Linked DNA regions of Drosophila melanogaster. The protein of the gene in region 3 interacts with the protein of the main gene of each other region in a pairwise test. Each region holds a gene or a part of one and is shown on either strand. Other genes may lie near its edges.

Region 1 (3,632 bases), on a different chromosome or scaffold from region 3:
CCACCTCCGTATTGCCAATCCAGCAGCAGGACCTGCACCCAAGTTAGTCCCTCTGCCCGGAAAGTGAGGCGTTGTCGCACAAGGATTTCTGAGCTGGGAACGGATCCGTATCCTTGCCAAATAAGAACTCCCTTGCCGCCAGCTTCGCTGATCTTGCCCGGCCACCGGAATTTGCAATCCCAACCCCTTGAGCCCAGAAACGACCATTTCGGAATAAACTCGGTCATGTCCAACTACGTGGCTAGCTTTATGAACATGCAGGCTGATCGATAATTACTTTTAATTACAGTTCATTGTTTAACGAACATTACTTGTGATATAAGTCCTAGCTGCTGTAGAAATTGTGAAAGAATTCATTTTTTATGTATCATAAAATATTTATAAATAGGGTTTAAATATTACAAACTAATAAACGAAAAAAAAACCTTAAAAGTGACTCTCTCTTCATATTGCAAGAATAAATATTCTTATTATTGAATTCAATTAAGAAATAGTGGCAAGCTGCTTGCTTAAAAGTCTTGGAATTTTATTACACTTTCTTCTTTTACAGTGTAGGAGTGGCTCTTAGTCCCCTTCCCTAGCGACCATCTCTTGGAGGAGCTCGCACCAAGCCGGGATGCCAGAAGCAGTTGGAGCAGTTGCAGCGCGGACAATGCCAGCAGTTTCCGCACTTCATGCACACATTTCCGGTCGCATGTTGGGTGGGCGAGGAGCAGGGGGATGGACCTGGTACGGATCCGCCACTGTCCCAGAGATCCTTGTTCCGGAGACACGAACGACTGCGCTTCGGGCTGGCCGAACGAGCTCTTGGCAGCCCGGCGGCGGAGGCAGATGTGGCTGTTGGGGATGATGACGAGGATGGTGGTTGTGGTGGTGCAGCTGGAGGAGCACAAGGAGCTGCCGGCGGGCAATGAGGCTCTCTCTTCGCCGAACTGGAATCTGGCTGATCTAGAAACCTAACCGTGGGCGCATACAGCTGGAAAGCCAGAGGCTGGGGGATCTGCAGGTCACAACAGGACCTCTCCCGTTCCTTGCGCAATTCGGCCAGCAGGCGATTGAAGGACAGGTCGTACTGCACCAATTGCTGCAACGGCAGCTGCGAGTCCTGTGCGGGATTCGTCAGCAGCTGCTGATGCGTCAAGTGCTGCGGTTGGGCCAGCGGCACCAGGTTCCACGATGGCGGAACTGGAATCAGGCTGCACAAGTAAACGGGCTGATTTAAGCCACCATGGGAACTGGGTGGTGCCAGGCAAAAGATCTGCGGCATCGCTGGGGCTCCTTGAGCCAACGATGATTCCTGTCGATAGCATCTTGATGGATTTGGCTGCGAATCATATCCAGCGCATGGTCCACCGGCTGAACAACACTGGCCATGAAAGCTGCAAGGAGAGGCCTGGATGGGATTGGGCATCGGAGTTGGATATGGATTGGCACTAGGACTGGCACTTGGACCGGCTGTACCTGGCTGGCCAAATCTGTCCAAGCCACCATTGAACTGGGTACAGCTCGAGCAGATCATGTGATTTTTGTATTCATCCAAATTGAAAGAATTCGGCAGTGGCACATTGCAGTCAATGCTGGAGAGGAAGGGAGTAGAAATCGAATCACTTTTCATGGAAATTCATGTATAAATTACCTCAGACCCTCTGGACACTCGGTGACCAGGCACATGCCCAGTCGCGGTGGTTCCACCTCGGACTTGGAGGGCACATCGTTGGTCGACAGTGGAGCGTAGGACATGGTGAACTGATGCTGTGAATTTCCCTGCGACTGCAGGCCGCCACCGTTTCCATTGGCGATCAGCTTGCCCGACGAGGTTGCATTGCATCCGTGCTCACAGCTCTCCGTGCAGAACATCTTCAACTCTTCACCACCCGGAGAGGCCAACTCACGGATATGACAATTTTGTGTACATGTTAAAGCACAAAAGGTGTAGAAATGTTTGACATCATAAAGCTGAGACATACTGATTGATACCAGACTTGCTTCTCTAGTATATAATTTGAATTATTTTAAGAAATAAATACTGTTTCAAGTTTTTAAATAATTTTATCTTATTAATATTAATATGGTTCTAAAATCTTAAACACCAAGAACGTTTTGGTCACTACTTACACAGTAAGGGAAATCCAGTTTCGATGAGCATTTCAAAGTTGACAGTACATTTGTCGCCTGATATACTTTTTGATATGCGTTAGGAAACATCAACTCACAACACCCGGAAAACACATCAAAATTCAGGAAAATGGAGGCCCCAGGCGAGAATGAATCATCAGGGCAATTGGCCAAATCAAATGACGAAACGGTGGCCAAATGCTGTTTCATGATTACCGTGGGCACTGATGGTCTCATCGAAATTAGCTCACTTAATCAGGAATGCAAGAATCCCCAAAGCGGAGCAGACAGTAGTAACTCCCCACTGACGAATGGCACTAAGGAAACCAAGAAAGAGTGCATAGCTGTGCTCAAAGGGAATTCAAATGACATCGATGATGACTCAACTGAAAAGCTGGAGAAGAGCAAGAATGACAAGTCCATAGAGGAGATCAAGAAAACCGAAACTTTGCCGCCTTTCGTTAAGATCTGCAACAAGGATCTGGCGAATAGACCTTCGTTCGTGGTTCTCGAGGATGCTTTGGCTAGGAATCGGATTCAACAGGACATAGAACAGTCGAAGGAAGACCAAACCGGCAAGTGTCAGACGCAGCAGACCTCGCGTTCCTACGCCATTTCTAATGCAGGATCCCAGACGGACAAAGCCTTTCCGCAGTATCCAACCACCAGCAATAGCAACCAGAAAGGTTATATTATTCATTTTAGATTGCTTCTATATTTATGTTCCTTCCTCCCTCTTTATTCCCCAGGTAACACTGTACAAGCCGCTCGGAAGTTATCCCTTCAAACTGCAGCCCAGGTCCGACAAAAACTTTTAAAATTAAATCGGGAGCAACAGCAACAACAGCGACAACCGTCGCTGAATGAGCAGCATCAACAGCAAATGTCCTTGCTGCAACATCAGAACATGCAGCAGAATGTGCTGCAGCAGCAGCAGCAACATATGCAGCAGCATTTGACGCTGCAGCAACACCCGAACGTGCGAGTTCAACCGACCAACAACTCGCCATATGTGACCATCAGTTTTATGCACATGAATCAGCCGGGGACGGCAACATCGGGTTGTCCTGTCATGTATCCTGGCCAGCAGTTCCTGTGCGCCACGCCGAGCAGCATGTCCAGCTGCTCCTGCTGCACGTGCAGCAATTGCTGTCCGTCGAGGACGAGTCAAGTCTGCCCAATGCAGATGGGCAATCAGTATCAATGTCCAGCCAACGGAAGCAACTGCTGCATGTTGAAGCCGGAGAGTTTTGCAAACGGCTGCTACAACGGTGGTACATCCTGCTGTCCTTTGTCGAGCATGGAATCACATCCTTCTATGGGATTAGGTGGTCAGATCAGCCAGCACATGATGCACCCAGTTCTCGGAACCTCCACTTGTGCGCTGCAGCAGCAGCCGAATATTCCGATTTCTGGAGGATTTTATCCCTGTTGCTCGTGCCAATCCTTGTGCAACCAGTGTTCCCAGTGCAGGACGCACCCCCATCCTTGTTGCCACTGCCTGGGACCCTTCAACA
Region 2 (4,062 bases), on a different chromosome or scaffold from region 3:
GCAATATAGCAATCACAGGACATCGGAGAGATGCGAACTGCAGTCTCTTCTGTCAAACTGAAAAACGCCATAAATTTTGTGGAACAATGGAATCTGCCAGAGTATGCGGATGGGGTAAGGGTAGAATTCGCACATGCACACATATGTCAGGAGTATCGATATGTTAGGGGTGTTCAACGGGGGTGGCTAATAAAATTTATCCAGGCCGCGTAAGCCGATCAGAAAGTCATGTAAACACAAAAGTGGCTGAGAGATGATTGTTTTTTACCAGTCAATTTAGCTGAGCTGATTTCAGGTTATACGCGAACCTAAGATGGAAGTAGATTTTTAGATTACCAGAAATAACCTTCAGTTTCTAAAAGAATGAGAAATAGTAAATCGTGAAGCCTGTGGCATTCTTACCCCTTACTGAAATGAATGTAACAGGTAGAAGGCAGCAATTGCAGTGCTACAAAGTATATATATTCTTGATCCATATAAGTATAAGTATAAGAGCTATAATGTTATAATTAAACATGAAGATCCTACGCTGTGCAAGTTTTGTGCCACAAATTTAACTCAAGATTACCACTCACAAAGGATACATTACCATTTGGCCATTAAAAATTACAGCATCCATAGACAACCTACTTAAAATTTATAAAAACTTGAGGGTTATATCACAGAGTTACCGAAAAAAAGCGTAAAAGCTTTATATTCTCAACAATATTATGCTATTAAAATATTGCTGGTTTTCTGCTGTTATAGAATCATTTTTAAAAGTATAACGTAAAAAATAAAATAAAACTAGTATTCATTTGAAAAATCAGCGGGCATATAATTTATATCATATTTTTAAAATTTAGGCAAAGGATGTTTGCATAAAGTTTTTACTGTTTACTAGTCATTTTGGAAGTGCGTTTGTTGGTTTTTAGGCAAATACCGGGCACAGGAGTGAGTTTGGGAATCGGGAGTTGCGCACTTGCTTGGCCACGAGGGCAAACAAAAAGCGCAAACACGCGACCCTCGGCCACGCGTATTCCTGATCCCAGGGATCGGACGTAATGTTATCCTTTGGCCGCCCAGTGCCACGAAATAAATTCGGAGGGAAAGGGCATCGGGTTCCGGGAACAACTGGCAGCCAGTCTTCGGTGTTTTGCGCGCTGGCAAAAATCCAGAGAAATTTTTAGGGAACCATAAACGGGCCGGGGAAAAAGCCTCTGCCCCGAAGGAACGTTTTCAGCAACAGTTTACAGTTTTTATGTCTTTATGATTATTGCAATTAGAGGGAGATCGGCTGAGAGTCGCGCCCTCTCGCTCTGCGCACCTCATAGGTAGGCACCTCATGGCCGTAATTACTGCAGCACCGTCTCAAGGTCGCCGAGTAGGAGAAGCGCGCGGGCGGATAAATCGCGATGATAATGGGCGCGATGGGTAGGTAATAAGCCGCGCAGCAGGTAGGCACCGTACGGATAAAGTTGCCAGGACCTCGGATAACTTCCCCTCTCCGTGCCTGCAAGGACATTTCGCCGGAGGGGTGGCTGCGAACAGCAGGCGGCAAAGTGTCATGCGCAGGGATATTTATGCGCTATAACGGCGAGCGTGTGCCGAGGGCTCTCTGATTTTGCTATATATGCAGGATCTGCCGCAGGACCAGCTCATTCGCAAACTCACCAGCGTTGCGTGCACATCGCAGAGTTAGAGAAGAAATCTAGCAATACACATCCGATATGGCCACCACAAACAGCCAGAGCCACTACAGCTACGCCGACAACATGAACATGTACAACATGTATCACCCCCACAGCCTGCCGCCCACCTACTACGATAATTCAGGCAGCAATGCCTACTATCAGAACACCTCCAATTATCAGGGCTACTATCCCCAGGAGAGTTACTCGGAGAGCTGCTACTACTACAACAATCAGGAGCAGGTGACCACCCAGACTGTACCGCCCGTGCAACCCACCACCCCGCCGCCCAAGGCCACCAAGCGCAAGGCCGAAGATGATGCTGCTTCCATCATCGCCGCCGTGGAGGAGCGACCCAGCACACTGAGGGCTCTGCTCACCAATCCCGTGAAGAAGCTGAAGTACACCCCCGACTATTTCTACACAACCGTCGAGCAGGTGAAGAAGGCTCCCGCCGTAAGCACCAAGGTCACCGCCAGCCCCGCTCCCAGCTACGACCAAGAGTACGTGACTGTGCCCACGCCCAGCGCCTCCGAGGATGTCGACTACTTGGACGTCTACTCGCCCCAGTCGCAGACGCAGAAGCTGAAGAATGGCGACTTTGCCACCCCTCCGCCAACCACGCCCACCTCTCTGCCGCCCCTCGAAGGCATCAGCACGCCACCCCAATCGCCGGGGGAGAAATCCTCGTCAGCTGTCAGCCAGGAGATCAATCATCGAATTGTGACAGCCCCGAATGGAGCCGGCGATTTCAATTGGTCGCACATCGAGGAGACTTTGGCATCAGGTAGGCATCACACACGATTAACAACCCCTAAAAATACACTTTGAAAATATTGAAAATATGTTTTTGTATACATTTTTGATATTTTCAAACAATACGCAGTTATAAAACTCATTAGCTAACCCATTTTTTCTTTGCTTATGCTTACAGATTGCAAAGACTCGAAACGCACCCGTCAGACGTACACCCGCTACCAGACCCTGGAGCTCGAGAAGGAGTTCCACTTCAATAGATACATCACCCGGCGTCGTCGCATCGATATCGCCAATGCCCTGAGCCTGAGCGAAAGGCAGATCAAGATCTGGTTCCAAAACCGACGCATGAAGTCGAAGAAGGATCGCACGCTGGACAGCTCCCCGGAGCACTGTGGTGCCGGCTACACCGCGATGCTGCCGCCACTGGAGGCCACAAGCACCGCCACCACCGGGGCACCATCGGTGCCAGTGCCCATGTACCACCACCACCAAACCACCGCCGCCTACCCCGCTTACAGCCACAGTCACAGTCATGGTTATGGCCTGCTCAATGATTACCCTCAGCAGCAGACCCACCAGCAGTACGATGCCTACCCGCAGCAGTACCAACATCAGTGCAGCTACCAGCAACATCCACAGGACCTCTACCATCTGTCTTGAGGTCCGGCGATGCTCAGTTACTCTCTTCCCCAGAGCGGAACCGAAAGCCGTACCGCCACGAAACCGAAGCGCACTTCTCTCGACCATTTGTAGGTGACACGCAAATGACACAGCCGAGAACGAAGCTGCGACGCGATGAGTTGCACAGTAGAGGGCGCACTCCCTACGGTGCCCAGGACATTTTGGGCACAAGGACGAGTGCGCAAGTGCAGAAGGCAGAGGCAAAAGAGGCAGCGCAAACAGAAAAGGAGCCTTGCTGCGCGCGGAACCCAGTGGCTGGCCATGATGGGTTCTCAGCGATCGATTAGCTGCGGCCAAACACAAGCCCAAAACACTCAGCTGGGAGTGATAATGGCCAAGAGACTTGGAGACTGACACACATGTTTTTGTACATATAGTAGTTAAGATATTCCTATCATAGAATTCTATTTATTTAAATATACGAGTAAAGTAAATCGATCGAATTTAAACAAATCAAGTTGAACATTCATTTGGCAATTTGTGAAGAAGAGTCTTGGGCATGCTGCAATTTGACTGCTTTAAAATTTTAAATTTATAGGCCGTGGGCCGCGTATGTGGAATACATTTCATATGTATATGTGTTGAAATAAAATTAAATGCCTTTCAATGATAACTACTCAATAAATTCTTAAAATAGTTTGGATCAACGTATGGTATTTGTCTAACTACTTTCACCGAAAACATATCACAAGGCAAAGTTTACCTTCAGCCTATTTTCATACCTTATATATGCATATAATACATATATATGATAAAAATGGAGTTTAGGAGTTAAGGAGTTTAAATTATTTAAGTATAAGCCTAATATTTAATTGTTCGTTGAGAAGCTTAAGAGATCTCTTGGTTTACTTTCTGATGAATTGCACATGGTTGAAGCATTACTTTCGAACTTATACGAAACGCAAACGATTTAATGTTGAGCACGAATCGTACAAATTCGAGCAGCTGCATT
Region 3 (5,011 bases):
GGCCGACGGTCCACACTTTGTCATGGCCATGTTATTATGGAATTCACATTTGATTTAATTGCCGAGCCCGGGAGTCCTTCGTCCAGCTCCCTTGCCGCTTTTCAGCTCGTAAAACCACCGAAATGCGCGTGTTAAGCCACCGAACCACCGCACGCACCACACACTCCCCCTTTGAAATAAAAAAAAAAAACGGAAAAAACACCAAACAGAACGAGAAAAAAAGAACTCGAAATTAAGTTGTTCATTAGGTTTTTTTTGGACCTTCTCAGTCTCCGTCTCAGTTTTTCGGTTACCACTCACCGCGAACGGGAAACTCGTGCTGGCCGTTAAGGCCATAAAGTTAGCAGTTGGCCCGGGGCCACGATTTGGCCGACAGTGCGATAAGGATTGCAAATCCACTCGGTTTTGTAGAAAGTGAAATAGACATTCCGGCCAAATCCAATTTGGCCGCAATGAAAGGGTTAATTTCCCCTCTGGCGTGCTGCTCGCCCATTTCTCTGGAATTTTTCGTGGCCCAATCGAGGCCAGTGAGCAGTCAAAACTAAATAGTTCCGGACATAGTAGCAACCCCTAGAAATATGCGACTATTCCACTTGCTTTGCCACTTCTACACGTGTTAATTATCAATTATTGGGTACGATCCATCCTTAGAATGCTGAAAAATGTATCTTGCAGAACACAAAAACCTAAATTTGAGGTATTACTTTTGGAAATATATCTAATCTAACTAACAAGCAGTGATCCAAAGTATCTGGTGAGACCAAAAAATCCCCTCTAATTTTAAGAGACCTTATAAAATGTGAACGCGTAGCAAAGGTTTTTTCCAGATCCACAACGGCTACAATTTTAAATGTTGAATGCGATCTTGAGGCCAAATTGCGAGTTATATATATAGGGATGTTGCTAATCTGGGTTCTCGAGAACCGCTTTCTGGTTTTCAGGGGGGATAATATACGAGTATAATTAGTATCTTCCCCAAGTGCTACCGATTTCTCCACAATCCTCAACTCGTAAGTCTCAATTAGCTCCGTGCACATGTCAAGCGGAACAGACATAAAAACCGATAGAAATTAGTTAAACATACAATAATTTAAATTCGTGCGATTACCGAAAGTGGAACCGACAGGTTGGCCGAGCTTCTGTTTCGGAACCCTCTCCCTTGATTTTATTTTTTATCATTTGCTGCCCCCCCCGCAGATCAATGGATCGATCGAAGCCAGAGCCAAGCGGGGCATTAACAGCCGCTAATTAAAATAAAAAAATTATAATAAAACGTACGCTTCACCATTTGAATATGATTAGCTTGCTCTTTCTGGACCACGCTTAAGTAAGTTGTCCGACGGCTCGTTGCCTCGTTGCCGATGGCCAAAAGCCCCGAAAGCCGGTGGCTTGGGCTTTGGCTTAGAAAGCACACAAGTCAATGGGCCATAATGGCAGCCAGAAACGACGGCATGACAAAGAATTAATTAGCATACGATTTTTGACTTTTGTCGCTCGCCGTGGTCGTGGGAAAACTAAAGTCTGGCCAAAAAGGCAGTCATCGATCGTTGGCAGTCTGGCCAACGATCGATTGGTCCGCTTTAAATGAGTTATCTCGGTGCGGCGGAAGTTCAATTGGCCGTAGTTTTGCATTGCAAATTCGATTCAGGCCATCCGGTGGCATCTTCCACTTCATTCACAACATGAATATTATTCGAATATTATTGGAATCGAATCTTGGCCGAAACTAACGCCGCCGGTTGAATGAAGATCGCCCCGTTTGGTTCCGTTCAGACTCGATCCGTTAGATCAGATCGTCGTTCATTAAGAAATAAGCCGATCGATGGCAGGGCGTTGGGTCTGGGGGGACGAGGTCGGACTTGAGACCGATGTGTCGAACTCGATAAGCAAATATCGTTATTAAAGTCTTTCAAAAACGCCGCAACCTGATCGGGAGCGACTCGATTTTTAATGATTTAGTTGTTGAGAAAGCAAATTATGCGCAAACAAATTGATTACGATCGTTTATGGTGGTCATTATGGGCAGGTCGATGGATGCGACCAGATCTTAATTAAGACGCCGATAAGTCATCGTCGTTAGCTTTTGTCAAGTGTTGGCATAATATTACGGATTAGAATGTGTCTGCACTCAAAATGCAATGTGTGCACTTTTCACCAAGTTCAATTAAGCTTATCTGGTCTCGAGTAGAAAACGAGATAGCACATCTGGCGTAAAATCCAAATCAACAAAATATACAATCTAAAAACTTGTCAGTGAACTAATAAAGTTGTCATCTAATTTCATTTAATGAAGCAGATTCAAATAAAAGCTCAAATTTATTTTCAGATCCAAGCAAATGTATTCTAACTAATTTATGCCAATAATAATGACAATTCGTTATAAACGATCTATGGAATATTATAACAGATACTTGAATCTGCTAGTTTTTTATCTTTTTATGTTCTATTTTTTATAATCTAGATAGCAAATGAACACTTAAACTTTACCAATTCAACATAACTTGGTGAAGCTCAATTTAAAAACGTTGTGCAAGCATAAAAGCTTGACCAAAAACGGATAATCTTCCATGAATAGTATCTTTCCTAGATGGTTATACTTTTGAAATATATAATTCAAAAGATGTGCTCACCTTAAACTTAGAGCACTGAATTCGCCGGCTATCCAATAACTTTGCCGCAACTTGGTTCGAATCCTTTGATCACTTGAGCACAACACTTTCCGCTCGAGTTTTGCATGCACCGTGTGGCTTATTCCGCGGATAATGGCCGATTACTCAGTTCGGAGGCGCGACGGCTAATGGCTTCTGTATGATTCTTATTTGGGAGTTCGGAACGCGACGCACCTTGTCACTCGACCGTCAAAAATTCGACTAACTGCACGCGAATCGCGGGACCGGCGCATCGATTCGATCAATTTTTGTGGCAGTGGCAGTGGCGGTAGCAGTGGAAATTGAGAGTTGGCTTCGTGCCTCGCCCGCGGTCCATCAGCCGACAATTTCTACTGAAGCGCCGCCAAGCAGAGCGGCCCAAAACGCCACCGAAAAGCCGCCGCTCACTAACACACTCGTAATACGCGGCCCGCACACACTGACACAAGCGTTCACGGACTCACGGACGAACCGTTTTTCTGGTGTAACCGGTTTTTCACGGCTGCGACGTCCGCGTCGGTTTCAGCCCCATTTGGCCCACCGCCAGCCAATGAGAGCCAATCAGAGAGCTGGCCCGGTGCGCATGCGTCGCACGCTGCGCCGACGGTGAGCTGCCATTGGCCAGATTCGGCAGCAGGGGTGGGGGCCAGGTGACACGTCCTCCGGGAGCGAAATCGACACGGGCACAGTGGGTCAAGTGTGAAGCTAGAGGCTAGTGGGCTAGGTCGATTTCAACAGCATAGAAAACCGCATTGAAATTAGGGGTAATTACGTAAAGCCACTATATTCAGAGAGTGACTAATACGCAGTTACCTTTGTAGATAAACATTGCTAATCTGGTTAGTTGATTAGTTGGTTAGTAGTAAAAATTGTGATGATACTCAAGTGCAGCTAACTAAACTATCTTTGTGATTTAAGAGTTCAAAACTTTTTAGGATTACATTGTAATATATTTGGGAAGAAAGGAAACCTTATAGAAGCATGATACCATGACCTTTTACATTAAAGCTACTTTGAAATGTTAAGAATGAGCCACCTGATTTGAAACTAATAGTTTAGTGTCAAAATTGTTTTTCTAACTTGGTACACAAACTTAATGTTATGAGCAAAAACCGAGCAAGTTCAGTACAATCCAGCTTGCAACTTTTGCTCCACTGTGCGATTGCATGACGTCCGTGCAGCCCGCCTTCGCTCTGTGAACGCTCTGGGGGTAGTAGAATTTGGTGTGGATGGTCGGCGAGTTCCGGCCAGAGAGCGTTGCGGCAGAGCGTAGCCTTATCCGTGGCCGTTTCCGCAGCCGATGCGTTGCCGTTGCAGCCGCGTTCCGGCCAATCGGCGGAGGCAACGCAGCACGCAAACGCTCTCACTCCCGCCCCCCGCCCACGTCCTGCATCGTGTGGTTCATAGAAACTGATAGTGTATGTATCTCGCCCACTCCAAGGACCCCATCCACATCCACATCCGCATTGTGACACTGCATAGCCGTTACCCTGGCGAAACAGCCACAGCTACGGCCACAGCTACGGCTCGTCCTTGCCCACCCGCTGGAAACTCCCGGGGGAGAGGAGGAGGAGGAGGAGTAGGAGGAGCGGCAGGAGGCGGAGGTCGTTGGGTGGGTGTCGGCGTTAAGTAACGCTCGGTGGTGCCGCAGGCGTTAATTGAATTCGACAATTGTCGCTCGGCATTCACAATTGGAAATGGATTTTCACTGCGACGGCGACTGGTGCTGAAAGATAAAGCTGTCACATTGTTTGTGATTGTTCCAAGGGAGGAGTCCGGATTATTGATCCATTCGAGGTACCGAACATGATGAATGGAAATTAGTTGCCATGACTAGGAAATCAATGGTCCCTAGCAGGGGGAACTCCTGATCCACCAAGACTGGCTAAAGCCTAACCCGTTTTTTGGAGCCGCGTGGCGTATGCAAATCCACTTGCTACCAAAAACCACAAAAACCTGTGCGAAAACATGCAAAATTCTTAGGCCCACTCAGCGCGATGGCTTTCCCATGGCAGGAGGATGGCAAGAGCTTGGCAATAGCTTCTGCTGGCCAGAGATAAAACTGTCACAAAGGCCGGGTTGCCGGTAACCATTTGCCATTTACCAGCCATCCGAGCTATCCGAGCAGCTGCCTCTGACTTTTCCCAGGCAACCAAGCGCGGCGTAATAAGATCAAGCGAGTCAACCGTGCGTGGTGGCATCAACACACACCTCTCTGTCTCTTTTGGCACAGAGTCCTTTGGTCCTTCAGTCCACTGGCCCACCCAACTGGCCACGCCCAACGCCCAGTATGCTTGTTCATGGGCCACCCCCTCCGCGGGTCCTTCAACGTGTGTCTTGCCCTATCTGACAAGGCGATTATG

The links.
Region 1: the proteins of Poxn (region 3) and hale interact in a two-hybrid assay, tested with the Drosophila melanogaster proteins (2 studies listed by BioGRID).
Region 2: the proteins of Poxn (region 3) and ftz interact in binary tests that used the Drosophila melanogaster proteins (3 or more experiments, as listed by UniProt).

What each region holds. Positions count from the first base shown.
Region 1 is NT_037436.4:19,983,919-19,987,550, forward strand, and holds hale (hale-bopp), read right to left. Parts: upstream 1,951-3,632; 5' UTR 1,858-1,950; coding exon 1,637-1,857; intron 1,578-1,636; coding exon 578-1,577; 3' UTR 508-577; downstream 1-507. Other genes in the region: CG17732 (uncharacterized protein), read left to right, coding at 1-273; schuy (schumacher-levy), read left to right, coding at 2,246-2,801, 2,865-3,632.
Region 2 is NT_033777.3:6,862,685-6,866,746, forward strand, and holds ftz (fushi tarazu), read left to right. Parts: upstream 1-1,639; 5' UTR 1,640-1,709; coding exon 1,710-2,457; intron 2,458-2,604; coding exon 2,605-3,089; 3' UTR 3,090-3,560; downstream 3,561-4,062. UniProt on the Drosophila melanogaster protein: May play a role in determining neuronal identity, may be directly involved in specifying identity of individual neurons. Required during embryogenesis for the process of body segmentation.
Region 3 is NT_033778.4:15,832,053-15,837,063, forward strand, and holds the start of Poxn (Pox neuro), read right to left. Parts: upstream 3,004-5,011; 5' UTR 2,631-3,003; intron 1-2,630. UniProt on the Drosophila melanogaster protein: Transcriptional regulator that specifies poly-innervated organs (chemosensory bristle). Also controls the number of neurons.